3 linked regions of the Cricetulus griseus genome follow. The protein of the gene in region 1 interacts with the protein of each later gene in a pairwise test. Links are inferred from orthologs where the notes say so. Each region holds a gene or a part of one and is shown in the gene's direction. Other genes may lie near its edges. The genes, in order: Ythdf1, Dhx30 and Prrc2b.

Region 1 (9,908 bases):
ATCTTGTTTCCCCAAAGGCACAAGCTTAGGACCGAGAAGGACTCCCTGAATGGATATCAGCATGTGGTTACCAGACTGGGGGGTTGTTGGGCATCATGGGGGCATGAAGGAGACATGTCTTCCCATTCCTGGACAGGTCACTCTCATTCCCTAGGGAGAGGTGATGGTTGTTTGTCTGGCCAGGCCCTCGTTCCAGGTTAATGGCTTCAGCCGTGCTCAGCACTCCTCCAGCTGCCACGTGCATCTTCATATACTCGTTTTGCTGACCGGGCCCCAAGCCCCTCTCCAGGCTTAGTCCTGCTCACCCTGTTTACCATGTTGACCCTCGCCCACCCCATCGGGCTCTGTGCATCCCAGATTTCTCACCACCGTCATTACTTGAATACTATGACGCCAACTCTGTATATCTCCAAGAGGGCCTCCAAATCCTTGTGGGTCCCAGGACGCCTTTCATATCAGGTTATTCTTACCTAAAATGCTGCTGTAGCCACTTACCAGACAGTCTATGAAACTGTTAGGTGCCACCTGCTGAGATGATTAGGCCTGGGCAGGACTTGGGGACTCAGCCCAGTCCAGCCTCCGTCTCCCACAGAATCAGTTTTTGAAGCAGAAACCTGTGCCACCCCTTGTCCCAACAGGAGCCTTGGTGTGAACACAGTATACTCAAGGTCCATGTATGGATGTTGCAGACTGGCTTAGGTGACTGAGGCTCAGCACCATTTTACTCGAGGAAGCATGGCATTAAATATCAAGTCAGTTGAAAAACAAACAAACAAAAATCAAACAAGAATACATCATGACAGGTCTAGAGGAAGCTGGTGAGGGCAAGAGGAAGAAGCCTTTTTTGCTTTTTGAACCATAGTTCCTGGTTTTCCATCTTGCCCTGGCTGAGAGCCAGACTTGATTGCCACATGAGTTGAATGAAGATGCCTCTTACAGCAGCCTGTGCTGTTTCATGACTTAAGGTCAAGGCCTGAGGCTTACATGATCCTAGAGTGCCACAAAGCCTGCTTGTTATTCCTCAGCCTTGAAGCTAATATCCTGGAGGTCACTGGATCCTAGGCCACCTGGTACTGTCCTGGGGGACAAATAAGCACAACCATAGTAGCAGATGCTAGCTACAATTCCTGGAAACACAGAGGCAGTCAATAGGCCATGGAACCCTCAGCGAATGGCAGGTTTCTGGTCCAAGTTAGGCTGCTGGTCCTTGGGTACTGTGTAGAGGGTAAAAGAGACAAGGGTTGGAAAGGATCCAAGGTTCATGAGTAAGGTGAAGTTCAGATTGTCTGGCCCTGGCATTTGCTCTAACTTCTTGGAGGTTTGCTTTCTGGTCCAGGCCCACAGAGCTTTTGAGAGGCAAGTTGCATGATGCGTCTGTCACATGCTGACTCAAACACCTGCATCATCCATGGATGCAAGAGTGGCCCCTGCTATAGGGAGCTGATTTTGGGGTACATGTCTATGTTCTGTTTCGTGCTGTTCCAGAGCACCCTGAGCCAGTCAGCACCCACTCACCTAGATTCTAGTTAAGGGACACTCTAGAAACCAATCCAGGGACATACTCTCTCCTCATTCCATCCTGTCCTGGCTGCCTACCAAATCACAGGTATTATTTATGGTGACTTGGTTAAACCATCGTTTTGTGTCTGGGTTGAAGCATTGGACTCATTTTCTGTTCCCATGCCTGTGAACTTCTCGTGAGTAGTCAGTGTACAATAAGACTGAGCAGGACTGCACAAGCATCCCTCCACAGGAAACTACCAGGATATCAGGACAGGGACCACTGGTACCCTGGCACTCTGTATATCCCAGGAATGAAGTAGGGGCTCAGCTAAAATACTTTTGGATAGTGACTAATGGACATCTAGAGAGAGGAGCTGTGATTCACAGGAGGGGCAGAGGACAGAAGGAGCCCCAACACCACAAGCTGATTTCCTGGAAGACAAACTAGACACCCCCTGGAGGTTTGGAAGGACAGGGGATTCAGAAGGAGGTCTGCTGCAGGGAGGGTGTTCACTCCCAAGAGGATGTTCATAAAGAAGGGGTGGGGGATCTTCAGCATTTGAGTATCTGTGCGCTGCCTGCATGGACAGGTGTCTTCACCACTGGCCCTCCTAGGGCCAGTTTTTGAGTGAGCTAAACCCAGCACACAACAAAGGCTTGTTCCAGCCAGGTATCATTTGAATACAGGGTCTCCATCCTTCAGCTCTCCTAGCCTTCAACATGGCCTCCTTGGGGGACATCTAACAATCTACAAAATGACCAAAAGATGTGCCCTTCAACCCAGTGACTCACCCTCAGGTGCCTCCTTCTTGTGCCCTTCTACTGATGACATGTAACAGAGGCTAGAACATTTCCTACAGAAAAGTCAGGGACAAAGCATTCCCTGGAAGGGATGGGTAGGAGCATCTGGGTGTTGGTGCCTAGCAATGGTTCCCAGCACTCACATGAGGGCTCGTGAGTGCCTGTTACTCCAGTTCCAGGAAGTCAAGACAGCTTTTCTGACCTCTGCAGGCATGCACATAGTGCACACATATACATGCAAAAAAAAAAAACCCTCATAAACATAAAATTTTAAAAATATCTTAAAGGGGCTGGAGAGATGGCTCAGGGCTCAAGAGCACTTGCTGCTCTTTCAGAGGATCCAGGTTCAATGCTCAGCACACACTTGGGGGGCGGGACAGAACCATCTGTAACTCCAGTTCCAGGGCACCTGGCACCCTCTTCTGGCTTCCCTGAGCATCAGGCACAAACACATGGTGCATTTACATACAAGCAGTCAAAACACTCATATGCAGAAAATAAAAGTTAATATGTCTTTTAAAACTTACATTTGAAAGATTTGTTTTATTTTATATGTATGTGTGCCTGCTTGTCTGTATGTGAACCATGTGCTCATCGAATCCAGAAGAGAGTTTTTGAACCCCTGGGACTGGAGTTACAGGCAATTGTGACCCACCATATGGGTGTCGGGAACCAATCCAGCCCTCAAATAAACCTTTTTAATGAATGTGAGATCTGCTGTGGGGTAATAGGAGGAGTCTGTGTGTGGAAACAGGTTCACTGAGCAAGGAGCCTGCCTAAAAGTGAATGTCTAGTGGGGTGAGTTCTTTGTTGGGGACTCTTACAGAAATGAAAAACGAACTGAGCTTTCCCCACGAATTTGGAGCACAAAGGGGGCGTCAAGCCTTTCCCTCTTAGGTGACAGGATCGGGTTCAGAATCTAACGGGAACACCGGTCACATCCTGGCACTCCTCTCTCAGGCCCAGATTGCCGCAGGGCAATCGAGGAGGACTGCTTGCACACCGCTGGCAAAACTCTTGTGCCCCTGGACAGGTAGAGCTTAGTGGCCCCATTCACCCACCTTCTCCTCTAACACTCATGGGGCTAAAGCAGGAAGGTTGCTATGAATTTAAGGTCAACCTGGACTACATAGCAAGTTCTATGCTAGCCTGAACTAGAGTGAGACCCTGTGAGAAGGCCTCCCTTCTCAGGTGCAGGGGAAATCATCCTGGGACTCTGCTCCACAGTGCCTGGCTGCCAGCAGGGGCCTAAGGAGGTACCTGTATGGGAGGGGAGATCTGGGCCTCAGTCCTGTATGTGTATCTCCCTCTACTCACGTGCCACCGCAGAGCCCTGGCGGCACGCAGAGCCCACAGGCAGCTTTACCACTGCTACTTGACTTTAGAATGCGCTGGGAGTACCACGCTTCACAGAACCCCAATGCCCTTTGAAAAAGACATGGGGCTTTTACCATTTCAGAGATGTGGAAACTGAGGCAAAGGAAGGGAAAGGAGGTTCACTGAGAGCTGAAGTATGGGAGATCAGCCTAGGAGATGGTGGCCTACTCCGATCCATAGTAGATCAAGCTCACACAGGGCTGGAGTCCCTGGGGTATCCACCATCACCAGCTCAGCAGATCTATTCCCACGTGGCCCTGCAGGATTTAGGACCCCATCTCATTCCCCACCTGCCTCTGCCTCCCAAGTGCTGGGATTAAAGTTGTGTGCTACCAATGCCCTACGGCCAGGCCGTGGACAGAGGTTGCGGTCGGGGCCGCGCAGGGGACCTGGAGGCTGGGCTGGGGGTGCGAGGTCCGGGCCGGGAACCGAGAGACCGGTCAGGGCTTGGGTCTCCCTCCGGGCCGAGGACCGGGAAACCAGGCCCGGCCGGAGTTATGGTTCCGACGGCGGGGTCCGCTGGGCCTGGCCGTGGTCAGAGTACGGGGGGTGTGGAGGCCGGGCCGGGGTCGTCTCGTCCTCCGGGGAGCGTTCTCCGGATAGTAACTTTTGTGTTTCCTTTCCCGGGCTGGGTGGTGTCCACCCGCATATCCTGACCTGCGGCGACGCAGAGAACAAAAGGACAAGATAATAAAGGTGAGGAGAGTTCCGGGAAGTCGACTTTGGAGGAGAACGGGGCAGCGTCAGTCCGTGTGGACGAGAGAAAGTCCATCAGCCTTGCCTGGAACCCGAAACTTACTAGTTTCTTCCGTCAGTTCGGAGGAGATGAAACTTTCCGTTTCCGGGATGTTTGACAGATTGGGGGGGGGGCTAGAAAATAAAGGCGTACCCGGAGTAGTTCATCCCTCCGATCTTCTCTCTGCAAGAACAGTTACCTGGCGGGGAAGGAAATGGTGCTAAGACATCCTCGCAGGGGCTACGGGGGCTGAATGATGGTTCTCTGTTGCTAGGTAGTGGATGGCTCTAGCAAGCCTGTGGGCCTCGGAGGCTCTGCCCCCCACCCTAAGTTGCAGTCATTATAAGTTTACGGTCATCAGTGATAATTCTGGCTTCGTAATAAACTCCCAAAACTCAGTCTTGGAAAGTGACACTAAAACTTTTACCCGGAAGACTTTTTAACCACTGCATGTTGTTGTTACTTGGATGTAACCAAATATGGTTCATCGTGTTTTAAGGTTGGAAAAGGCCCAACACTTTATTTACCATTCCTTTCCTTTCCTTTACTGGCTGTGCACTGTAACAGTGGAAAGTAAGTGGAGAGTCAGATGATAGTGAGCTTGGGTTACAGCCCTTTCCAACCGAGCATCCTGCCCTCTTCAGATCTCCATGCATAACTAGGCCCTTAGAGCATGTGTCCTCCGTTTGCCTGGCATAGATCTTCTGAGACCCTGTCGATTTCCTTGGCTGGGGTGTGGCGAGGGGGTTCGTCTGTGATACAGCACTTGCAGGCATATGGGGCCCTGGATTCGGGCCCCGCCTCTAGGGTGGGGTGGGGGCGGAGCATCTCAAGACCCTCAAAGCCTGGCTTTAAGTTTCTTGCCATTTATTTTTATGTGCAGCAAAATGACCTGATCAAATTATGATTATGTCTTTATAAAAAAATTTAATTTATGGCAAGTTGTGCAATGCCAGTCTAATTAGGCGTGTAAACATCAGCTCTAGAGAGTGTGCCCATTTTGAAGTAAGATTGTATCTACTAAAATTTGATGAAAATAGCCTTTACTAAGGTTCCCATGCTTAAAAGTAATTTTTTAAAGCCTGGAGATAATATTTTGCAACTTCTTGTTCTAGTACAAAATGGTTCTTTACATCAGAAGGACACAGTTCATGACAATGACTTTGAGCCCTACCTTTCTGGACAGTCCAATCCGGTGAGTTCATTTTATTAGCTTGTTGTTGTTTTTAAGTAATTTTGTTTGTAACACCTTTACTATCATATTTCTGTTTTTCTACCCTAAGCAGGAAAGAGGCATACTAGGAAGTATTAAAAATGATAGAGTGGTCTTGAAGAGTTGATTTGAGCAGGTCTTCCTGCTGGGCCTGGGGCCTGGGGGTGGGGGGATATGAAGATAGTTTTCTCCCTGAAGAGTAACACCCCGCTGAGATTGGGTACTGGCAGACTTCTAGTTGACCCTCAGCATGTGTGGGTATAGAGTGCTTTTTTATGGTTTAAAGGAGTGTGTGGTTCCCTGAAGCCTTGTGCCATGTTCATTTTGTCTCTGGGGGTTTGAAGTTAGTATCTAGGAGAGTAGCTAAGCACTGGACAGTGCAGCAGACCCCTTTTCTGTGCATCAGGTGACTTGCCTTCCTTGAACCTTAGTTTCCTTTTACATGAAAAAAATGTTAGAACTGCCCTTAGGCTTTTTGGGAGATTGGCATTAGAGAGTATGTACCTACATGGTCCAGCAAGCTTCAAGGGCCTATGTTCTCAGGTAATTCAGTATTGCTTCCCTTTGGCACCATGAAACACCTCTTCCCTTCACTTTTCATGTGTATGCATATGTGTGTTGGCACAGGTATGTGTCTATCAAGGTTGGGGGTGAGTGGAGGATGGAATGCATGTACAGACCTGATTTAATGTCAGGGATCTCATCTCCTGTTACCTTTCTACCTCATTCAGTGATGCAGAGTCTCTGAAACCTAGAGTTTCAATTGCTTTGGGAACCTCCTGTCTTTACAAGTTGGCCACCATACTCACCTGGCATTTACATGGGTTTACGGGGACTCAAACTCTGGTCCTAAAGCTTGGGTAGCAGTCTTGTTTTGTTTTGTTTGTGTTTTTGAGACAGGGTTTCTCTGTGTAGCTTTGGATCCTGTCCTGGAACTCTATTTGTTCAATAGACTGGCCTGGAACTCCATTTGTTCAGACTGGCCTGGAACTCAGAGATCCACCTGCCTCTGCCTCCCAAGTGCTGGGATTAAAGTTGTGTGCTACCAATGCCCTACTGGGCAGCAGTCATTTTAAACTGAGCCATCTCCCCAGCCAATGGTTATTTTTTAAGTGTGAGTATGGGCTTGGGCATGGGAGTGTGTACATGCACAGGTAACCTTGGAATCTAGAAGAGGTCGACACATTGTTGTGAACTGCCTACATGGGTGCTGGGAACTGAACTGTAGTCTTTTGTAAGAGCAGCAAGTCTCAACTTCTGAGTCATCTCTCTAGACCCAGACAAAAAACATTTTTGTATTTTTTGAAAGTTTCATATGTACATGCAGTATATGTTGATCATAGCAGCTTCACATTTCCCCAGTGTGTGTGTGTGTGTGTGTGTGTGTGTGTGTGCGTGTGCGCGCGCGCGCGTGCATGCATGCATGCATGTGCACTCATGTGCGTGTCCCTGCATGTCCGCTTTCATGTCCTCTCTTTCCCCTAACCTACTGGGATCATGGGCATTTTGTACCAAAGCATTGTTTTGGCTGTTCCTGCTCTATAGGATCACCAGTTATATTCCACATCCCACTCCACCCACTAGATTCCCTGATTAGCTTCCCACAAAAATTGTCTGCAAGAAGCCTTCTGGCAATTTAATTGCAATGGTTAAAAGCCATAGGCAAGCTGGGCATGATGGTATACACTTTTAATCCCAGTACTCAAAGGTAGAGGCAGTTGGATCTTTGAGTTCAAGGCCAGACAGGACTATGTAGTGGGACCTGTCTCACAACAAACAAAAAGCCATAGGCAATTCGAACTTTAGGTTTAGCCATAGTGACTGCTACTTTTAAATGCATGCTGCATAGTTAGAGTAAAGCAAGGTTTTGCCTGGGCCTTGTATTGGAAGGAAATGGATTACCTGCCTGTTTTGTTTTGTTCTTGTTTTTGCTTATCTGCCCCTTCTAGGTCATCTTAGAACATTTTACAACTCTTCTCCATCTTCCTTCTCACTTTTAGCATCTCAGAAGCCTCAGGGTCTGAAGAACCTGGGGTCTTAACCTATAGGGCTGCATGGTTGCCCCTGATGGGCAGTATATAGAGTTGCAGAACTGACTTGGCTTTAGTCATGGGCTTGTTGGCCATGGCAAGAACAAGAAGTTACACAAACCTATTCTTTTGAATATTGTATTTCCTGGTTTTCTTAGTAGTGGTATGTACTAAATATTAACCAAAACAAGGAACTAGTGTTGCCTTAATTCATTTTTTATAAAGTAGGGGCTTATGGAATATTTGGGAGGATCCTGCCCTGCTGTCAATTGCATGCCACTGCAATCTTCTCTTGTGGAAGCCATGAAAAGGGATGTTCTTCAAGGAGCAAGCATGCCCAGGGAATAGCTTTGAAGTGCCTCCTTCATGTCTGTGTGTTCAGATGTGTACTTTTAGCAAAGCACTTAACAACACATCACTTAGAGTAAATGTGTGCTCCTGATGGCAGACTTTGTAGAAGAGCCCAGTGTTGTTAAGACACAGGGAGAGTAGCAGCACAGGGAGCAAGAAGCAGCTGAAGACCAGCCTGGTGGCTGTTTACCTGTGTGGAGAAGCTGGGGCCTTCAGTCATCTTGTGGTGCCTTCTGCCTTTGTGTTGCTTGTTTCTTCATGTGGGGCAGAAGGCCATCTGCTTCTTTGCTTTTCTGTAGTACATCCTAGTACCCAGAGATTGTTCAGAATGCTTGACTGACACTGTCACTGGTGTTGTTTCATGTGGCCACAGTGCCACAGTGAAGTTGGTGCCTCCTATACTCATTTGTGAGGAACTGCTGGCCTTGGAAGCTCTTAGCTTATCTTGAAAATTGAGCCTCCCCAGTTTCCCAAGTTTTTTTTGTTTTGTTTTGTTTTTTAATTCGACTTTGTGTTTTCTTTTTTCTTTTTCTTTTTTTTCCACCTGTAGCCCAGAGTTAAGTTAAATAATGCTGTGCCTTGTTAGGGCATATGCAGCCTCTGTTGTTTGTGAAGATCTGGGAGAAACTTGATACTTGGGTTGCTGCCATGTCTAGGCAGTTCTGGTAGGCTCAGGATTGGCACATATGTGCCTGGCTATCAATCCTGTATCTGGCTTGGATTTTTGTGGTTGTGCGTACATAAGTTTCCTTAAAAGGTCCAGTGGTAGTACCCCGTAAAGAGGGGTTTGCTACCACTACAGCTTCCCAGAGGGGCAATGAAAGGATACCTTGGGTCCTTAGTAAATTGCTTAAACAGATACAGAAATTCCTTGTCAGAAACTGCTGTCTCTGCTGTATCAGCCAGACATTACAGTCTCAGAAGGCTCAGCCTTGAAGACCAAGAAAGTGCCTGACTGAGTCAGTGTATAGTGTTTTTCTCTGACATTCCTCTGTCTGTGGCCATCTCCTGAAACAAATGTGGTAGTGCTGACTGACAGAGCAGTTCCCAGGAGTCCTAGTCACTTGGTCACTTTTCAGCCTTGCCCTCCATGCCTTCCTTTCACATAATTGATTTGACTCAATGAAGGGCATGCGTCTCAGTGTGCTCCCTCCTCGATGGATGGTCTTCTGGGCTTGGAAGAGACTGTCTCCTTCCAGTGTCAGTCACTTTGATGCCCACTTACCTTATTGTTTAAATGGTCTCAGAAAAAAGGGCAGAGGAAGTGTTCTAATCATTCAGAATTGTTGTGGCTGTCTGTCTGTCTGTTTGTCCCTTTCCCCCATCCTTGTCAGTTAAGGTAATTAAAGTTGGATTGATTTTTTTTTTTTAATTCTAGAACAGATTTATGGTTTTATTATACTTTGCTGTTTCTAAATAACCTAGGGATAACAGCCATGGCCATTTAAATTCTCTTTAATTCTTTGGAGTATCTATTTTGTTCATCTAATTTTCAAGTTATGAGGAAGAAGAAACCTTAGAGTTCCAAGTTGTATTTTCAGTAAGCTCTGGCTTTGCCAGGAAGATGTGTTTGCCTCCCTTGTGTGGTCCCGTTGTATCCAGGCTTTGATTAGAAATCTTAGATGTAGTACCTACTACCCAGCAGTCTGGTTAGACTTCTGAGTTTGCTTGTGTGACTTAATTTATTCAGCTGTGTCTCTGATAACCACTCCTTACTGGTAGCTGAGACTACTCTGTGGAGCCACCACTACAGAAGGACTTCTTGCCTGGAACATTTACAAGAGAATGGAAACCCAAGCTTGTGCTGGCCAATGCAGGCTTTTCCAGCAGCCCTGGGGTATTTCCAGAGTGTGTTTGAAGGAAGTTGCTGCTCGTGTAGGCAAAGCAGGTAGCATAG
Region 2 (9,376 bases), on another chromosome or scaffold:
TAAACTCTCCAGGGGATTATTCAAGTCATGGCTAGGATTAAAAACAAATTACTTCTTCCCAGCCTACCCAACCTAAACTGCCAGCCCCGACCAAAGCTTTCTCCACAGTGCTGAACCTCAGAGGCGCCCCCCCCCTCATGAGACCCTTGCCCATGAGGCCCCTCTCATGAGACCCCGTGAGGCCTCCTACCCCTGCTCATGAGGCCCCTACCCCAGCCCGTGAGACACCCCCTCCCCGCCCCAGCCCATGAGGCCCCACCCTGCCCATAAGAGCCCCACCCCTGCCATGAGACCCCCATGAGGCCCCACCGCCCCCCCCACCCACCCGCCATGAGGCCCCACCCCAGCCCATGAGACCCCCCACCCGCCCATGAGGCCCCCACCCCCCGCCCATAGCCACTGCCTTCAGATTTAGTTTGATCCCCAGCCCACCAGAGTCCTACCCATAAGGTTGGCTCATCTACATCCAAGTCAGTTGTTAGAAAGCAGCCTGTAAGGAATTTCCCATGTGTAGGACCTAGAGGAAACATGCGTCATTTCCTTGGATGGACGTGGAGCAAATACATAGTAGTATTTTCTAAATCTAAAGTCTCCTTGAGACCCCGATGCCCGTCGGTGGTTTGATTCTGGGCTGTGGTGTGCGGACAGACGGCATCCTAGCTCCCTGCTGCTCTCAGCTCAGCTCAGCACTGAGTCCCCCTGGCCAGCAGAGGGCGCTCGGCGCTCCTGCCGGCCGCTGAGCCCTCCGAGGCACTGTTGCACTCTGGGGCCGCGGGGATCGGCGGGATCGCCATGGCGTCCGCAAGGCGGCTCGTGGCGCTGGCTGCCAGCGTCTCTCCGCGCCTGCGGCCGCCCGATCCCCGCGCTGCCGGGCTACAAGGACTCTCGCGTGGCTTCTCATCAAGCTTCGGCCGCCCCGATGGCACTCAGGAGGCTTCCGAGGTCGAATCAGAGGTGGCCCCTAGCGAGCCTGGGGAGGGCGACGGAAGCACGGTGAACGGTGAGGGCTTTGTAGCGGACATGGGGCTGAAGCGCCCTTGACAAGCGAAGGCAAGCCAGGCGCGCGGGGAGAGGCCGGTCTTGAAAGTGGATTGAACCTCTTACCCCCGCGGGTCCTTGCTCTGCGTTAGAAAGCCTTGTGTGGCGTAGGACCACCTAGAACCCAGCATGCCGGCGCGTGGTTGGGTGGGTAGGGAAATCACGTGAATATCCTACTTCTGTCAGATTGGGTGGTATTTGAGGGTTAGCTCTGTCATCACAGTCGGATTTAGCCCCAAGACACCTGGAATACAGAATCTTTGGTAGAGTTTGGCTCTTTGGCTCCTGACTAGGGCAGAGAGTGGAACTGATAAGAACGTCTATGGCCATTAAGATAGAGCGAGCTAGGGGCTAGAGACATGGTTCGGTGGGGTAAGAGCACTAGTTGCTCTTGCAGAGGGTAAAGGATCAGTTCCCAGCAGCCACCCAGCTCACAACCACCTGTAACTCCAGTCCCAGGGGATCCGATGCCCTCTTCTAACCTCCACAGGCATCAGGCAGACACGTGGCCAACAGGTCTACATGCAGACAAGACATTTATACATACATTAAAAAAATAGAGTGAGCTAGTTGGCCTTTAACCACCTGAAAAACTGGGGCCTGTGGCGTGTGCACATCTGTGGGTCTAGTGGGTTACTTAAAGTAGGGAAGATGGGGCCAACTCTCCTTGAGTCTACTTAGGTGCTGTTTATTAACTGCTTGATTCTTACATGATATATAACATAGCATTTAGGAGACTGCACCAGGTAGGACACCCCTATTGTGCTAGTTGACACAGTTATCTGCCCCAGGTAAATATCCCAAACAAGTTAAGTTTACATCAGAAATTTTGGAGCAGCATTTTCAAAACACAACACTGGTGAGATGGCTCAGCAGGTAAAAGTGATTGCTATACAGCTCTGGTAGTTAGACCCCAGTTCCAACCCCTGATCACAGTGGAGGGAGAGAATAAGCTTGCAAGGGTTGTTCTCTGACCTCCAAATGGTGGACTCTCTCACACAGTGATAATAAAAGAATTGTTTTTGAGACATTGCCTCACTGTGTAGCCCTGACTGTCCCAAAACTCACAGGATCTGCCTGCCTCTGCTTCCCAAGTGCTGGGGTTAAAAGTTTGCAACAACTGCTGGGCAGTGAATGAATGTTTGAAAAGACAAAAGAATTAAATACAAATACTACCTGAACATTGCTGGCATTGTCAGGTACCCACTGAGGAATAATTTGTCCACTGCTGTGATAAAGCAAGTACATGATACTACATGGAACACCCACTAAGTTCTGTTGTGGGGTGTTATAGGTTGAACATAATGCCAGAGACTGTAGGTGGCAAACGAGAAGGACGTACATCCCCTGAAGATTCTCATGCTGCATGTCGATGGGCCCTTTATTTTGTTTTGAGCTGTTGTGAGTTGCCACTGTGTGATCAACTAAGCCCTGTTTGGCAGGAGCTACTGCTAGATGGGACATCTGAGACATTTGTGTTATTTGTATTTTGAGGTTAATGCGGAGACTTAAGTGAAGGGAAGGAGAGAGGCCTTCTGGTGTCTGATGCTTCCATTTCCCCTTGGCGTCAGGGGGCAGGAAAGGGTTGGCTCCTGCCTTTGTCTTGGCTGAGAGACTGGACTTTAGGGAGGATTTCTCCAGTGCTGAGGCACACTTGGGAGTAGAGGCATAATCTTTAAATTCTGGATCTCATCACTGACCTACATGGGGCCTGAAAGAATCAGTGTCAGCTTAGGATCTCCAAGACCAAGATCAGTACCAATACTTGACAACTGGAACAGTTGGTGGTCAGCCTTAGGAGGAGGAAGTGGCCAAATTAGGGAATAGACCTCTGTGGCTAGCTTCAGGAATGAAAGCTAATGGCTCAGCAAGGCAGAGAGAATGGGGGAGAAGGGCAAGGTTGCCAGAGCCATGCTCGCTATGCTGGAGCTAGCCAGAGTCCCTTTAGGACCTGTCCTTCTAATAGTGTGACCTGCTTTGGGAGGGTCTTCATCTCTCATGTGCATGCATGCAAGATAGGTTTTTTTGTTTTGTTTTCTGAGCATCCTTTCAGAAATCAGACTGATGGAGTTTATTGTCCATCTAGCCCATTCCCAAGGACTCCTAACTTCATTGAATGCTTTGCAGTCCTGAGTCAACGTTAGCCCAGAGTGGCTTTGATATATATCTTGTGGAGTTGCAAAATAAAAGGAATTGTAATTATTTTACTCTTATTTTCTTAGCTTCTAGGGACCTATTAAAAGAGTTTCCACAGCCCAAAAACCTTCTCAACAGCGTGATTGGAAGAGCCCTTGGCATCTCACATGCAAAAGACAAGCTAGTCTATGTGCACACAAATGGACCGAAGAAAAAGGTAACTCTGCTGGTGGCTAAGTGAGTCCCTAGTCCCTAGTGTGATTCAAAGGACGCTGGCTGCCTCTCTCTCTCTCTCTCTCTCTCTCTCTTCTCTCTCTCTCTCTCTCTCTCTCTCTCAGGTTTGGATTTTGTTTCTCTTTTTTCTTTGTCAAAGAGGCCAATTTAGGTATCCTGCTTGTTTGCTTTTGTTCGTTTTGTTTTCATTTGGTTTTGGTTTTTCAAGACAGGGTTTCTTTGTGTTACCTTGGCTGTCCTGGAATTGACCTTTAACTCATAGAGATCTGCCTGCCTCTGCCTCCTGCATGCTGGGATTAAAGGTGTGTGCCACCACCTAGCCCTCCCTGTTCATTTGCTTTTCATTGCTTTGAGATAGGGTCTTTCGTAGCCTAGGCTGGTTTCAAACTTGCTGTGTGACAGGAGCTGGTCTTGGATTGTTGGTCCTCCTGCCTCCAGGTTACAGATAGTGAAAGTATTCTACACACACATTGAAAAAAACAGTCTTACAGATGTGCGCTGCTCTGCCCGCCAGAATGGGTTTCTAAATGTGAGCAGTCAGTAAAGAATTCCATAATACAGTTAGATCTGAAGAACCACCAGAAATCCACAGCAGGTGGGGTAAGGAGTGCTCATCTTGTCTAAGAGGCCCCCGTAGTGCTCCCTGCTTTTGGTCCCTTGTCTAACAAGGAATGTAGGGAAGAGGTGATGGTGAGAACACCCCTGCTCCAAGAGTGTCAGAGAGCCTATATCCCACAGAAGCATGCAGGCAAACCATTCTGAATAAAGGTTTTTTGGTTGTTTGTTTGCTTTGAGGCAGGGGTTTCTCTGTGTAGAAACCATCTAGGAACTCACTCTGTAGACCAGGCTGGCCTTGAACTCAAGAGAGCTGATCAGGGTCTGCCTCTCTAGTGCTGGGAATAAAGGACCATGCCACCACAGCTGGCTTGTTTGCTTGTTTTTGATGCAGGTCCTGCAATTTACTTTGTAACCTGATTCTCTTGCCTCTACTACTGTGGAGCTACGGCTACAGGCATGGCTATCGTTCCCACTTCTTTATTCTCTTTTCACTTCCCAGAAAGTCACCCTGCACATAAAGTGGCCCAAGAGTGTGGAGGTAGAAGGCTATGGCAGCAAGAAGATAGATGCTGAGCGGCAGGCGGCAGCAGCAGCCTGCCAGCTCTTCAAGGTGAGCCACCTCTACTGAAGGCCTGCAGGCCCGGAGACTGCTGTCGCTAGCTCTCTCTTGCACTGGTTTTGGTTCCAGGGACATCTTGGTAGATGTTGAGGCAGTGTTGAGTCATGGAACTTTCCTGAGCCCTTCCTGCTTCCTAGTCCTCTTCTTTGCTCTATGTATGTGTGTGTGTGTGTATGTTTGTGAGGACATGTGCCTGTGTGTTGACGAGAGGTTGTCTATCTACATTGTCTTTGTTTGTTCATTACTTGTTGGAGACAAGGTCTTATTTTGTAGCTTTGCTGGCCTAGAGCTACCTATATAGACTAGGCAAGCCTTGAACACAGAGATACACTTGCCTCTGCTGAGACTAAAGGTGTGTCTTCCCACAGCTGGCTTGTCTACATTGGTTTTTGAGATGGGATCTCTCTGTGACCTGGGGCTCACTGATTAGGCTGTGCTGGTTGGTGGGCTAGCATGTCCCATGATGCAACTCTTTGTGCCTCCCCACCTTGGTATTAAAAGAGTTCACCACTACCACCTGGTGTTTTACATGAGTTGGGGATTGAATTTAGGTCTTCGTGTTTGTGTGGCGAGCACTTTACTAGCTCCCCAGCCCTTGCCTTATAAAATTAAAAAAAAAAAAAAAAAGTTTTTCTGAGATGTGGTCTCACTGTGTAGCCTTGACTGGTTGGTAATTCACTATTGTAGACCAGGCTGGCTGCCTGATTGCCTCAGTGTTAGGATTAACCACTGATTTAAAAAAAAAAAAAAAAAGGTATTTATTTTGCATGTGTTGCTTGCCTGCATGTGTAAGTAGGTGGAGTTTTTCATCAGGGCCTCAATCAGGTCTGTTTTACCAACCACTTCCCAAAAATCCACTCAGAGACTTAATATTAATTATAAAGGGTTTCTTTGTATAGCCCTGGCTGTCCTGAAGACTGGCCTTGAACTCAGAGATTCACCTGCCTCTGCCTCCTGAATGCTGGGATTAAAGGCGTGCACTTATCTAGCTTATTTTCATTTCACATTTTTATTAGTTTGAGACGAAGTCTTACAGTTCAGGTCATCTGCAACTTTTTTTTTTTCAAGCTTTACTTATGTACAGTTTTCTGTCTGCGTGTATCCCTGCAGGCCAGAAGAGGGCACCAGATCTCATTATAGATGGCTGTGAGCCACCATGTGGTTGCTGGGAATTGAACTCCAGACCTCTGGAAGAGCAGACAGTGCTCTTAACCACTGAGTCATCTCTCCAGCCCGCCATCTACAACTTTAAGTGATCCTCCTGCCTAGGCCTGGGAGACACCATATCTAGCAAACCTAGGCATTTTTAAGTCTTCTCTTCCTTCCCTCTGTCAGTCTCTTTCTTTCTATTATTGTTTCTTTTTGTTTGTTTTTTTGGTTTTTTTTTTTTTTTTTTTTCCCCCCGAGACAGGGTTTCTCTGTGGCTTTGGAGGCTGTCCTGGAACTAGCTCTTGTAGACCAGGTTGGTCTCCAACTCACAGAGATCTGCCTGCCTCTGCCTCCGAGTGTTGGGATTAAAGGCGTGCGCCACCAACCCCGGGCTCTATTATTGTTTCTTAAGATGGTCTCTGCACAGTTAAGACTGGTCTAGATCACAAGATCCTTCTCTGTGAGCTTTCATTGTTGGGATCTGGCCAGGACTGGTGTGTATAGCAGACACAGAAGAGGCTCACCTAGGTGTGGTGATGGTTTGCTCCTCACAGTTTTCTCTACTGGACAGGGCTGGGGTCTGCTGGGTCCACGGAATGAGCTGTTTGATGCCGCCAAATACCGAGTGCTAGCTGATCGTTTTGGGTCTCCAGCTGACAACTGGTGGCGTCCAGAACCCACCATGCCTCCAACTTCATGGCGGCAGCTGAATCCTGAGAACATTCGGCCAGGGGGTCCTGGAGGCCTATCCCGATCCTTAGGCCGAGAAGAAGAGGAAGATGAGGAGGAAGAGCTTGAAGAGGGGACCATTGATGTGACGGAGTTTCTGTCCATGACCCAGCAAGACTCTCACAACCCACTCAGGGACTCAAGGTACTGCTGTGGCAGAGGGATGCAGGGACCCTGGTCACGTCTTCTCTGAGCCCCCACATACGGGTGGGCTGGGGTTGGATGGGGTAGTACACTGGTAGCTACTGTCTTGGGCTGTGGCTGAGCTCGTGCAGACGACGCCTGGTCCCTCTTTCCAGCTCACACTTGGGCCCCGCCTTGTCAGCAGTCGTTCAGCTCACTTTTTGGGGGCAAGCAGGGCACTGTGGGCTTCTGCAATATGACAGTCACTCCTGACCGTCACCTCCTGCCCCTGCCTTTCTGTCCACCAGCACTGTGTCCCAGCCTTGAGGTCCCAGAGAAAGTGGCCTAGGAAGACAGCAGACTTTTTCACCTAAACTATTTGTCCTCTTAGGGGGGGTTCCTTTGAAATGACAGATGATGACAGTGCTATTAGAGCTCTGACCCAATTTCCACTTCCCAAGAACCTTCTGGCCAAAGTGATTCAGATCGCGACATCGTCCTCCACAGCTAAGGTGAGTTGGCTCTCCCAGAAGTGTGTGCATGAGCCACCTACTTGCTTGTGCCTGTCTTCTGAAGGCTCAGCAGGAAGGAACCCTCAGCTGTAGGGCAGGGCTCAGCTTGCCTGTCTTGGCTCCCACCTAGGCCAGCTAGGACACGGGATCCTTGACGAATGGAAGGCAAAGCAGCAGGGACAGGAAAATAGCCACACAGGGTGTAGGCTGGGACTGCTGACTGGAAGACCCAACTCTATGACCAGGTGGTGGGTTAGGGACCTGAAAGAATAGAAGTGGGGTGCCTGAATTGTGTTTAAATGTCATCATTGATGCACATCAAGGGGTCTCAGAGGACTGAGGTAGAGGTATAAGGCCTTTTTACTGTCAGACTTTCCTGAAGGTGCTAACCGCATGTGGCTGAGGAAGACAGGTAGCAGCATCGTGTGAACCGCGACTTCTACTACAGAAATGAGAAGCAAGCTCAGAGCTAGGGCTACACAGGGTCATTGATGGGTGAATGGCATGAGGCAGGAGGGAAAAGGGGGGAAGCCAAAATAAAGAACTCTGGTTGTGCCTAGTCTGGTGTGATGGTCGTTTTCGTTTGGTGCTGTAGCTGTGAGCTCTGCCTGTGGGTCCCTGAAGGTGCGTAGACCACCCACCTGTCGGGTTCCTGAAGGTGCGTAGACCACCCGTCTGCTCCTTCCCGGCCTTTGTAACTTCCTCATTTGCCTTCCATGTAGAACCTCATGCAGTTCCATACTGTGGGTACCAAGACCAAGCTGGCTACACTCACTCTGCTCTGGCCCTGTCCCATGACCTTTGTTGCCAAAGGGCGCCGCAAAGCTGAGGCTGAGAATAAGGCAGCGGCCTTGGCTTGCAAGAAACTGAAGGTGAGTCCCTTGTCTGTGACAGACTAGTCCACTTTTCTAGGGAGGAAGACACACACCAGGCCTTGGTCTCATCCTTACATGTATCTGTTTCCATGCCTACTGCCCCAGAGTGTCTGCAGGGACTGTACCTGTGAGCTTGACCTTAGTAACGCTTGGCCAAAGCCTAGGTGAAACCAGAGTGAGACCTCACAGGCAGGGGTGTGAAAGCGGTGCTTGGCTTATAAGATCGGCTTGGTGCCCAGAGATGCTGCTAACCTTGGTGGCCAAGTGAATAATCTGAATGAAATTGGAGGAAGTAAAGGTGATGGCAGTGTGGCCTGCAGCTGGCAGGTTGTCACCCCTCATGTTTTTTTCTTTTAAATATTTACTTTTTGTCTGTGCACCACAGTATACACGTGGAGCTCAGAGGAGGGGACACAGGAGTCTGTTCTTTTCTTTTACTGTATTGATTCCGGGAAATCAAACTTATGTCATGTGACTTGGTAGCAAGCACACCCTCTTCTGTTTTTTAAATTTGAGACAGGGTCAGGTGTATCCCAGGCTGGCCTGGTACTTATTACAATGCTGAGGATAACCATGAGTTTCTGGACTTTGTGCATCCATCTCCTATGTGCACGAGCCACCATGCAGTGCTAGGGACCAAACCCAGAGCTTCACGTACATCCCCAGCCTGACTGCCAACCAGGCCTCACTCTAGCCTGGCCTGGTACCTGCTATGCAGCTCAGGTTGGCTTCCAACTCAGCCTTGTCTCAAATGGTAGGATTATTAGTGGGTGTCATTAAGCCTAGCAAATTTCTTGAAGTTCTCCTCCTCCTCTTCCTTCCTCCTTCTCCTTCCTTCTTCCCAAGGTTTAGTGACTGACTATAGAGCATTACTCATTTTTGGTGGCCACCCTCTCACTGAGCTGTGTCTGTGGCAGTTCTAGTTCTCTGATGTACCTTGTGAATCTGGTTTTGGGGAACCATGTCTTAGATGCCTCTGATGGTAAAGGATACACCTGTCAACTTGGAGAATATGAGGAGTCCATGAGTTATCCCAGTACTTGGGAGGCCAGGCAGATAGATTATCATGAGATCAAGGCTGGCCTGGGCTACATATCAAGGCTGTTTCAGACAATCAAAACAAAGAGAAAAGGTTGCATGCAGCTGGTGAAATATGAGGTTGGGTGTGGGCTCTGCAGGGCAGAGGCCTGGGGCTCATTGCAGGATGTGGAGGAGTCTGCAGTTTCACTTCATATGCACAAGCCCCACACTCCTGGCATGGGAGAAGCTGTTTGGGAAGGAGCTGCAGTGTTGGGAAGCTGATGCACGCAACAGCCAAGTGGTAGCACTGGTACCTTTTGTGACCTAAGCACTGGTTCTTTAGTAGATGAAATTGTAGTGGGACAATGCCCTGAGGGAGGGAA
Region 3 (9,888 bases), about 140 Mb from region 1:
GCTCAGTGTGGCCTTCAACTAACAGAGATCCATCTACCTTTTAATCTTGAGTCCCTGGATTAAAGGTGTGTACCTGGCTTCTATGGTTTGTGGCTGATTTTGCTTTCTGAATCCTCAGACAAGCTTTAATAAGTCATAAATAATATATCATGACACCTGGGTATCCTAGAACTTGCTTTGTAGACCAGACTGGACTTGAACTCACAGAGATCCACTTGCCTCTGCCTCTCGAGTGCTGAGAATAAAGGTGTGCACAATTGCACCCAGCAGAATTGCAGTGCTTTTAATTGGCCATATAAAAATGCCTGCTCTTATAGAAATATGATGGTTTAATTATGGAAAAATGCTATTTTCCTACCATTATTTCTCAGTATATAAGTATATCTTTGGGTTGGATTGTTAGAATATTTTGATTTAAACATTGCTATTTGCAAGATGGATGGGGTGGTGCACACCTATAATCCTGGCACTTGAAAGGGGGACAAAGGAGGATGTGGAGAGTAAGGCCATCTTTGGCTACATAGTAAGTTTGTGACCAGCCAGAGACCCTGCCTCAAAACAACACAGATCTGAGTAGACTCATTTCAAAGGAAGCAATGGCTAGTATTGGCAATGATAACAGGTGACATTTCAAGCACAAGCTAGAGTTTTGGAGAATGTGAAGCTTCCACATAGTGATCTCAACTAACAATTCAATTTTTTTCTGAGAGTGGAGCACTAACAAATACGATGGTGTGAGTCTGTGTGTGTGAGGGGGTGGGGTGTGAGTACCATGCCTGCATGTGCTGTGGAGGCCAGGGGTCTATATCAAATACCTTTTACTCAGTTGGCTGGCTGGCTGGCTGGCTGGCTGGCTGAAGAATTCCATCCATAGAGCCTTCTCTCTCCCCTCCCAGTGCTGGGTTACAGATATGCCATCAGCTTTTTTACATGGCTGCTAGGAAACCGAATTCAAGTTCTCTTAAGAGGCAGGCACTTGGCCGGGCGTTGGTGGCGCACACCTTTAATCCCAGCACTCGGGAGGCAGAGGCAGGAGGATCTCTGTGAGTTCAAGACCAGCCTGGTCTCCAGAGCAAGCTCCAGGACAGGTTCCAAAGCTACACAGAGAAACCCTGTCTTGAAAAACAAACAAACAAACAAAAAAAGAGGCAGGCCTGAGTTCAATTCCCAGCAACCACATGGTGGCTCACAACCATCCATTATGAGATGCCCTCTTCTGGTGTGCAGATATACACGGAAGCAGAATGTTGTATACATAATAAATAAATAAAATCTTAAAAAAAAGGAGGCAGGCACTTTACCAACTGAGCCATATCCTTGGCCCAACAGATAGGACTTTTAAAGCATCACATCTGTCAACAGCTGGCAGACCTGCCTGACTTGGTGAATCAGTGCTTTCTAGGTAACCACTGTAGCGGTCTGTAGTCAGAGGCGGTCTAGGTTACCCGATGACATGGATTCCTGATGTTCCTCTCGCACCTCCCAAGCCCTGGGGTTACAGGTGTGTAGCTCTTTCAGTGCTGAGAACCAAACCTAGGGCTTTGTGTATGCTAGACCAACTGAGCTACAGACACCCCCAGCCCTGGATTCTCTCATTAACCCTCACCAAGCAGCCATAAGACAGGCACTGCTGCTCTTCCCATTAGGCAGAGAAGAAAGGCAGACTGTAGCAGGCACAATAAAGCGACCCCCACTGGCAGTGGTCAGATACGATTCAGTTAAGGATCCTGGATTGTTTAGGTGCCTCAATATAATCACAGGATCTTTGTAAGATTGGCTAAGAGTCCATGATATAAAATGAATTTTAGCTATACAGTTGGCTGTATGTATCCACAGGTCCCACGCTCTCCGATTCAACCCACTGAGGATGAAAAGCCTTCAGAGAAGCTAGGCATGGTGGCTGGCTCACATCTGTAATCTCAACACTGGGGAGCCTGAGGCAGGAGGATTGCTGTGTTCAAGGTCAGCCTGGACTACGAAGTGAGACCCTATTTCAAGAAAGAAAGAAAGAAAGAAAGAAAGAAAGAAAGAAAGGAAGGAAGGAAGGAAGGGAGAGAGAAAAATTTGCATCCATGGTAGGCATGAACAAACTTTTATTCCTGCCATTATTCCCCAGGCAACAAGGCAGAGCAACTATTTACATCACTCTTGAGGTGTAGTGTGTGGTAAGAGTGATCTGAAAGTGGTGAGGATAAAGGAGGCTATGTGTAAGTCACAGGTAAATTTATCTTGACATTTTATACAGGAGACTGAAGTATCTTTGGATTTTGGTGTTTTTTTGTTTTTGTTTTTTTGTTTGTTTGGTTTGGTTTTTCGAGACAGGGTTTCTCTGTGGCTTTGGAGGCTGTCCTGGAAGGATTTTGGTGTTTTTAAGAAGCCCTAGACCCATTATTACCCCACTGTGGAACAACTGTATATTTTATTTAACACACTAAATAATAAATACCATTCACCAGCACTCGGAAGAAAGAAGCAGGCCATTCTCTATGAGTTCAAAGCCAGTCTGGTCTACATAGAAAAGTTTCAGGACAGTTGGGGCTCTATAGAGAGACCCTGTCGCAAATAGCCAAAAATGAAAAAATTGAAAAGTCATCATCCTGGCCACATATCAAATGCTCAGTGGCCACATGTGGCCAGTGTGCGTATCCAAGTGTTTCTCTGTAAAAGTGTGTGAGCCATACACATGCAGAAGTCAGAGGGTAGGAGTAACGTTAGGTGTCTTCTATCCTTGCCTTGTACCTTGTTCTCTGTTGCACATCCCAGGGTATCTGTTCCAGAAGTTTCTGTCTCTGTCTCCCATCTCATCATAGGATGACTTTGAATTTCTGATCCCATTGCTCCCCTCTCCTCAGTGCTGGGATTCCATACATGTCTGCACCACCACACCCTGCTTTACTTACTTATTTTTGAAATAGGGTCTTGCTTTGTAGCCTGAGCTGTCCTGAGACTCACAATGAAACCCAGTCTGGTCTCAAATGAATAGAAGTCCTCCTGTTTCAGCTTCTCCAGTGCTGGGATTATAGACATGTTTATTTTAAAGAGGAGATAACATAAAAGTGATCATGATACAAAGCAGTGAAATTGGGAAGGCATAAGAAACGCTGTAAAACTCCCCAGAATCTCACTCCCTGGGCACTGGGCCTGGCATTCCTAGTTCCACTGAAATGGGCTAATCTTTCTGGGGCCCAGTTGAACAGCTTCTGTGTACCCTCTTGGTCCCTCTTTTTTCTTATCGGTTAATCGGAGCAATAATAAGTGCTCTGGAGTTAGCATTAGATCACACAAACCCAGTCCACTAACATAGGGCATGACAGCAGAGCTGGGATTTAGCCTGTTCAGAAAAATGCCCAAGTATGTCTGTGGTCTTACTTTTTTTTTTTTTTTTTTTTTTTCAGTAACCAAACCCACGGCCTCCTGCATAATAGCCATGAATTCTACAACTGAGCTATATCCCCAACTATTCTTTTTCATTATTGTTTTTGTTTCTTGAATTTTATTTTTAATTGCCAGGGTATCTGGAATTAAATCGGGAGAGCTCTCCCACCTCGCACCACACAAATAACCACGAGGGGAGCCATTCTTTCTCGCAGACCTTTTGTTTTGCATTCACACAAATACAAGGTAACACCCAAGAGGGGTGGTTTACGACATCTTAAACAAAAGGGGTGAAGTGTCTATACTGTGCACTTGTTATGGAATGGAAACGACAATGTGCTCCTTCTACCTTCTCCCTGATCCGTCAGACGCCTAACACAGTCTGAGCTGTCGGGCTGCAGGAGGTTCTATCGCTCTGGGGGTGCAGGGGGCAGGATCCAGGCCGAATCCCTTTTCTGAGCCCTCCCTCCTGCTTGCCCTCCAGGCCTCAGGTCTGTGTCCCCTGCGTTTTAGAGCGGGCGCCCTCCTCACCCCCCTTCCCATGGTCACCCTAGAGCTCTCCCTGGGGTCTCCTCCCAGTGTGCCCCCAGGCCTCTCTCAGGACCCCCTTCCCCACTCCATCGAGGTCCTCTCCGTCTTGGGGGTGGTATCTACCTCAACCCACTCTCCATTGAGGTCTCTCTCCACCAGGATCCCCTCCCTCTCCATGAAGATCCCTCTCTGCTGGGACCCGCTCTCCTCCCAGTCCCTTCTCCACTTGTTCTCCATTTGAGCCGTCCTCTTCACTGCCGCTCCTTTCCACCCAGGTCCCTTCTCCATTAAGGTCTCTCTCCACCTAGGCCTTTTTCCCTCAAGATCCTTCACCTAGGCCTCTTCTGCACCTAGGCCCGCTTTCCTCCAAGGTCTCTCTCATTTAGGCACCTTCTCCACCTAGCCTCCTCTCCACCTAAGCCCCTTCTCCGTCAAGGTCCCTCGCCACCGCGTCCCCGAGCTCCCTCTCCATTGAGGTCCTCTCTTCCGCAGCCGCTCGCTGTCTGCACCGCGGCCCAGCCTACTTCCCGCACCCTCCCTCCCGGGACAGGGGCGACGCGGCAGGGGGCGCTGCGCGGGCCACCGTGCGGGCGGCGGGCGGGGGCGGCGCGGAGGCGGGGCGGCGCGGCGGCGGGGGGCGGGGAGCCGAGCGCGGGCGGGAGGCGGCGGCGAGCCACAGCGCCGAGGCTCCAGCGAGCGCCGAGGAGCGGGAGGAGGAGGCAGGAGCGCAGAGCGCCGAGCCCCGCCGCCGCCGCTGCCGCCGCCGCCGCGCAATCCGCCGCCATCCGCCGCCCCCGCGCCCGGCCGCCGCCCGACCGCCATCGCCGGGCCCGTCGCTCGCGGACGCAGACCAGGTGGGCCGGGGCCGGGGCTGCGCTTTGTCTCCACTGCCGAGCTCTGCGGCTGGCGGGGCCTGCGGCCTGGGCGGCCTGGTCGGCGCTCTCCAGCTCGCCATTGTTGTGTCTCGCGGCCAGGCGGGAGGCCGGCGGGCCGGGCGGGGCCGGGATCGGATCGCCGTCGGGATCGAGCCGGAGGGCTCTCCAGCGTCTGGGGACAGCGGCCTCGGAGGCCGGGGCGGGGGACGCGAGACCCCGAGGCCGCCCGGAACCGCAGGCCGAGCGCCGCCCCGGCTCGGGTGGGTTCGGCTGCGGGAAGCGGGGTGGTGTTTTCACGGCACCCGGAGCCGCTGCTAAAAACGTTTAATAATAAACAGGATGTCGCTGCTCGGGGCCTGTCGGATTGATGGTTTTTTGTTTTTTTTCTTCGCCTACCTTTTAAGAGAGAAATGCAGTCCTGCTGAGGTGGTGGGCCTCTCTGGAGAGGCTCTACCTGCACAAAAGTGGACGCTGCTGCTTTCCTTTCTTCTTTGTAAATATCATGGGCAGACGAAGCCCACTGTTAGGCAAGAATAGGTGTCGTTGTGTCCCCCCCACCCCACCCCACCCCCCGGCAATGGTGAGCTTGAAGGAAGTGGGAGAAGGGGGGCGCCGATGCTCTCCGGAGTGTGTCATTTGCTAAATGGCTGCCTGAGAGAAACGTTTATAAAAGCCCGTCTTTTGCAGTATAGTTAAATTTCATCTGCGGTTTTCTTTCCTGAAAAGGTTAGCGTATATTTTCGGTGTGTTGTTTGCATTATACATCTCCCTTGGGCGTTCAGTCTGTCCATTTGAAGCCTTGGCGTTTTTTCTTGGCAGAACAACTGCAGGGGCTTGTATTGTATGGTGATGTCTGCACCGTCGTGGTGCAAGCTGGGACCTGCGGGGTACAGGCTGTAGAGTGGGATGGATATCTGCTGCCACCTCCAAACCGAGGGGACTCCTCAGCTTTCATTGGCAGAGAGACACGACTTGGTATGCAGTCGGTGCTCTATGGTAACTCCGCGTTGTCAACCTAGGATACAAGGTTGGCCACTTGTGGTGTCATCCATGCTGGAGCATGCCACAGGTGCTGACTTGAAGCGGCGACATTGGGGCAGGGGTTCAAAACACTGGTTGATGTCGGACTGCTGGGAGTCCCAGGCCAGCCTGGGCTCCACCGAGAAAACCCAGCAAAATTCCCACATTGTAGGAGCTTGGTCAGTGTGGGCCTCTGGGGAATGAGCGTGGGAAGGCATGTGGCTCTCTAGTGCAGGGGGCTTTCTAGTGGGTAGCTGGGTTTCAGCGGGCTGGAGCTGTATTGAGTGGACAGAACTGGCAGGATACTCGGGAGTCTTGTCTTTGGAAGGTAACTGCCCTCCTTGGGGATGGGCAAGTAATTGTTTGTGAGCCTTCAGCTTGTTCAGGCAAGTGTGCCTTTGGAGCCCTGTTACTCTTGAGTTACTTTAGTCAAGTCTCTGAGCCCCAGCTCTTGCATCTATAAAATGGGAATAATTACGACTGCTCGTGTATCTCGTGGGAGCCGCAGGTAAGATTCAACAGCAGAGCGTTTCCATCCGTGGGAAGGTGGTAGGTAGGCTTGTATATTCTTTGGTTTTGCTGGTCCCTTTTAATTCCTGACTTTCTTCCTCCTGTTGTGGCTTACAGAATTGTGACCCCGGCCCCGCCCCAAATTCTGTGACCAGCAAATGTTTTGATATTCTCTTTGTTACCCGAGTTCCCAAAAGCACGGGGCTAGTTTAGAAGAGGCAAGGAGCTCAGCCAGATTCTGAGGTAAAAGGGAGATCATAGACGGGCAGAGGATAACAAAGCAGGGGGAGGCGGGGCTGGGCGGACACGACCAATATTGGTCTTACTGTGAGTGATGACTGAGGCCTAGTTTGCCTCTTGGACTAACCCTGAGTAATTTGTTGGTCCCCACTTGGGTAAACAGTGACTTGCATCCGGGAGGGGGTGGGGGATTGTCTTACTTCATTTGGCATAATCGTTTTACTGAGTTTTAAGGAACTTCCGTGCCCCCTCAAGGCCCTTTATTCTCCAGCCATTTGGTTGTCCTGCCTCCTTCACTGGTCTGGTCCTAGTTTGCTGGTGGCTGGCAGGTTAGGGAAGACGAAGTCTACTCTCCCTGCCCCCAAGATTTTAATTCCTTGGGGAGCTCTAACATTCTCTGCGCTGTTTGTGTGGCACCCTGGTGGGGCCTGCCCTAGTCGTCTTCACTGTTCACTAGCCTGGAATGGGTGAGGGGAAATCCCAGGACACTTAGAGGCAAAAGCCTGGGAGAGTGGAGTTTCTGGAATGGCCGGTCAGAACTGGCTTCTGAGCCTTGGGCTTTGCTGAGGGATTTTTTTGTTTGGCCTCTTAACTGCCCTCCATCCATGCGCGCGCGCGCGCGCGTGCACACACACACACACACACACACACACACACACACGTCATTTTTTTCTCTGAAAGATTATTTTACTGTACTTTAAAGCTTTTTTATCCCCTAACACAAAGTACCAACTCCGGTTGCTAGTGGCTGTGGGTTGGTTACGTCTCCCATTGTTCTACCATTTAAGATTGATCATTCGGTGTTTCTATTTCAAACCAGAATAGACTGGGAAGACCTGTGCATGTATTTCTAAAATTCCATAAGGAGGCTCCTCTGCTGTCAACTGTTCGGATTGTGTTACAGGCCAGCAGGTATTAATAGGGCCTGTCCATAGCAGATCTTAAAACATTTTTCTCTTAAAAAAAGAAAGACGATGGCCAGCAGACATCTGATGGGTTTTGTACTGTGAGCTTGTTATTTTTGGTTTTGAAATGAATATTGTGTACAAAGGTAGGGCTTAGTGAGTCTAAAGGCCATTTTTTTTTTTTAGTTGATTATATTTATTGTATGTCTCTTTTCGTGTCCCATGGTACTCCTGTAGTGGGGCAGCCTGTGGGAGTTGGTTCTCTCTTTGGATCATGTGGGTCCTCGGGTTCAAACTGGTTGTCGGGGTTGGTGTCAGTCACCCTGACTACGGAGTCATCTCTTGGCCCTCAGTGTGTATTAGTGTTACTATTATTTGGGTTTGCATAGACTGGAGAGCATTTGGATGGGGTCACACATGGCCCATGGTGCTGGAAGCTTTCTGGGGCAGGGACATTGTTTACGATGAGCCTTTAGGATCCACAGGGGCACTTTGGCCTCCTCACCTGGGAGCTGGCAGACCTGGGCATCACCGCAGGTGATGCTGCTGTTGACACCATTGGTCACGTGGGAGATCTGTGTGCCAGGAGGGTGTTTTTGCCTTGGTGACTGGAATCAGGAGCCTTGCTTGGGCTTTGTTCTTACTGCACCTTTTTTTTTTTTTTTTTTTTTTTAAATCCTGTGATACCTGAGAAACGTGATTTCCCAAACCTCAGCAGTGCTGTAGGATGCTGGTGTGTGAAGCGTCTCATGTTGTGCAGGGTAAAGTCCACCTGAGTGGCTATTGTCTGGAGTGTTTGCCTCTGTGCCTCTCTCTGCAGCCAGCCTAGGTCCTTTATCCCTCCTTTCCAGACCACTGGCTTCTTCCTCTTTGGTGCTGGGAGAAGCTGAGTTGATTGCATTTTCAATTTTCCCGTCATGTGCCAGATACTCCATGGTCACTTATTTCCCTGCCAATGTGAAAGGCCCTTTAAAATAACGTTTCCAAACCCCTATGATTAAAGTGAAATCCCTGAAAAAATAAGCAAACACTGAAAAGGATTAATAAGAAAATACAAATAGAGACCACATAGTCTCACCCCCTAGACTATAGAACTAACATGTATATGTTGGCATCTTTACACACTGCATGGTTGGCAGCTTGGTTCTTCCTGTGAAGGTTGTATTTAATGCATCCGCAGTGATTTATTAAATCTGACAGTTTGTTAGGCAATTTGGTTGTTGTTACTTACCCTCCTTCCCATCAAACAAAACATTCCTGCCTTTTCTTATCTCTGATTAGCTCCCTGTAATGGGATTTCTGAGGCCAAAGGGTGCGAGGTTTTCTTCAGGAGTTTTCAGTACTTCCGACCTTTCTCTTCTGTCTTGAACCTCCAGGTTCTGGGTGGCTCTCTCCAGATCAGAGTCTTTTGATTTCCTAAGATTTATTTTGATTATTTTTAATTATGTTTATCTATGTGGGTATGTGCACGGGACTGTAGTGCTTGAAGAGTTCAGAAGAGTGTTGCATGCCCTGAAACTGAAATTATAGGTGATTGTTAGCAGCCTGATGTGGGTGCTACAAGCCAAACTCAATCCTTTGCAAGAAAGTAACTGATCTTAATGCTTCCCCATCTCTCCAGTCCCTGGTTCAAGGTTGTCATCACAGGCTGGATTGTAGACAAGGCTGCCTCAAACCCCGAATTGTTCTGTAGGTATGGCAGGAAGGCTCTCTGAAGAGAGATTTTGGGGGAGCATCTCAACGTCTCATTTCTTTTTTGGGGGAAGGTATGGATTAAAGGTGTGAGCTACCACCCCAGGGAGTGGGGTGAATGGGTAGTGGTTTCTTTTTTAGTTTCTATTTGTAGCACTCAGATGAGGCCTGGGATACATTTTGTAGGCCAGGCTGGCCTCAAACTCGCAGAGATGAGATCCAAGCCCCAGCATGGTGCTGCATGCCTTTATTCCCAGCCTGGTCTACAAAGTGAGTTCCAGGACAGCCAAGGTTACACAGAGAAGCCCTGTCTTGAAAATCAAAAACCAAAACAACAGAACGCCCCTCAAACCTCACAGAGATTCACCTGTTTCTGCCTCCTGAGAGTGCCGTGATTAAGGGTGTGGGCCACCTTGCTTGGCTCTGTAACCCAAGTGGGCCTTGAATTGGCAAAACTGCTTCCATTTCCATGTACCAAGATTACAGTGCTGCTTTTCCTTATCACACTTTTTACGATTTGTAAACAAAAGTTTTAAAAACAATTTATTTCTTTGTGTGTGAGTACAGTGTGTCTGCATATATGCAAGAATGTGCATGCTTGTGGAGGGTTGAGATTGAGTTTGGTGTCTTCCCAGGTCACTCTCCATTGTATGTTCCGAGGCATGGTCACTCGCACCCAGAACTCACTGCTCTGGCTAGTCTGCTTCCCCGACCTACCTCCGTGTGTACTGTACTGCAGG

What was found.
Region 2: the proteins of Ythdf1 (region 1) and Dhx30 interact in a two-hybrid assay, tested with the Homo sapiens proteins (2 studies listed by BioGRID, with this or other methods). The link is inferred for Cricetulus griseus from reciprocal best matches to the Homo sapiens genes YTHDF1 and DHX30.
Region 3: the proteins of Ythdf1 (region 1) and Prrc2b interact in a two-hybrid assay, tested with the Homo sapiens proteins (2 studies listed by BioGRID, with this or other methods). The link is inferred for Cricetulus griseus from reciprocal best matches to the Homo sapiens genes YTHDF1 and PRRC2B.

Annotation. Positions count from the first base shown.
Region 1 is NC_048599.1:982,413-992,320, forward strand, and holds the start of Ythdf1 (YTH domain-containing family protein 1), read left to right. Parts: upstream 1-4,136; 5' UTR 4,137-4,377; intron 4,378-5,532; 5' UTR 5,533-5,612; intron 5,613-9,908.
Region 2 is NC_048597.1:217,551,463-217,560,838, reverse strand, and holds the start of Dhx30 (ATP-dependent RNA helicase DHX30), read left to right. Parts: upstream 1-757; 5' UTR 758-792; coding exon 793-1,000; intron 1,001-3,260; coding exon 3,261-3,391; intron 3,392-4,465; coding exon 4,466-4,576; intron 4,577-6,305; coding exon 6,306-6,607; intron 6,608-6,977; coding exon 6,978-7,098; intron 7,099-7,820; coding exon 7,821-7,970; intron 7,971-9,376.
Region 3 is NC_048599.1:143,882,197-143,892,084, forward strand, and holds the start of Prrc2b (protein PRRC2B), read left to right. Parts: upstream 1-4,587; 5' UTR 4,588-4,760; intron 4,761-4,903; exon of another isoform or gene 4,904-5,041; intron 5,042-5,177; exon of another isoform or gene 5,178-5,323; intron 5,324-5,854; exon of another isoform or gene 5,855-6,554; intron 6,555-9,888.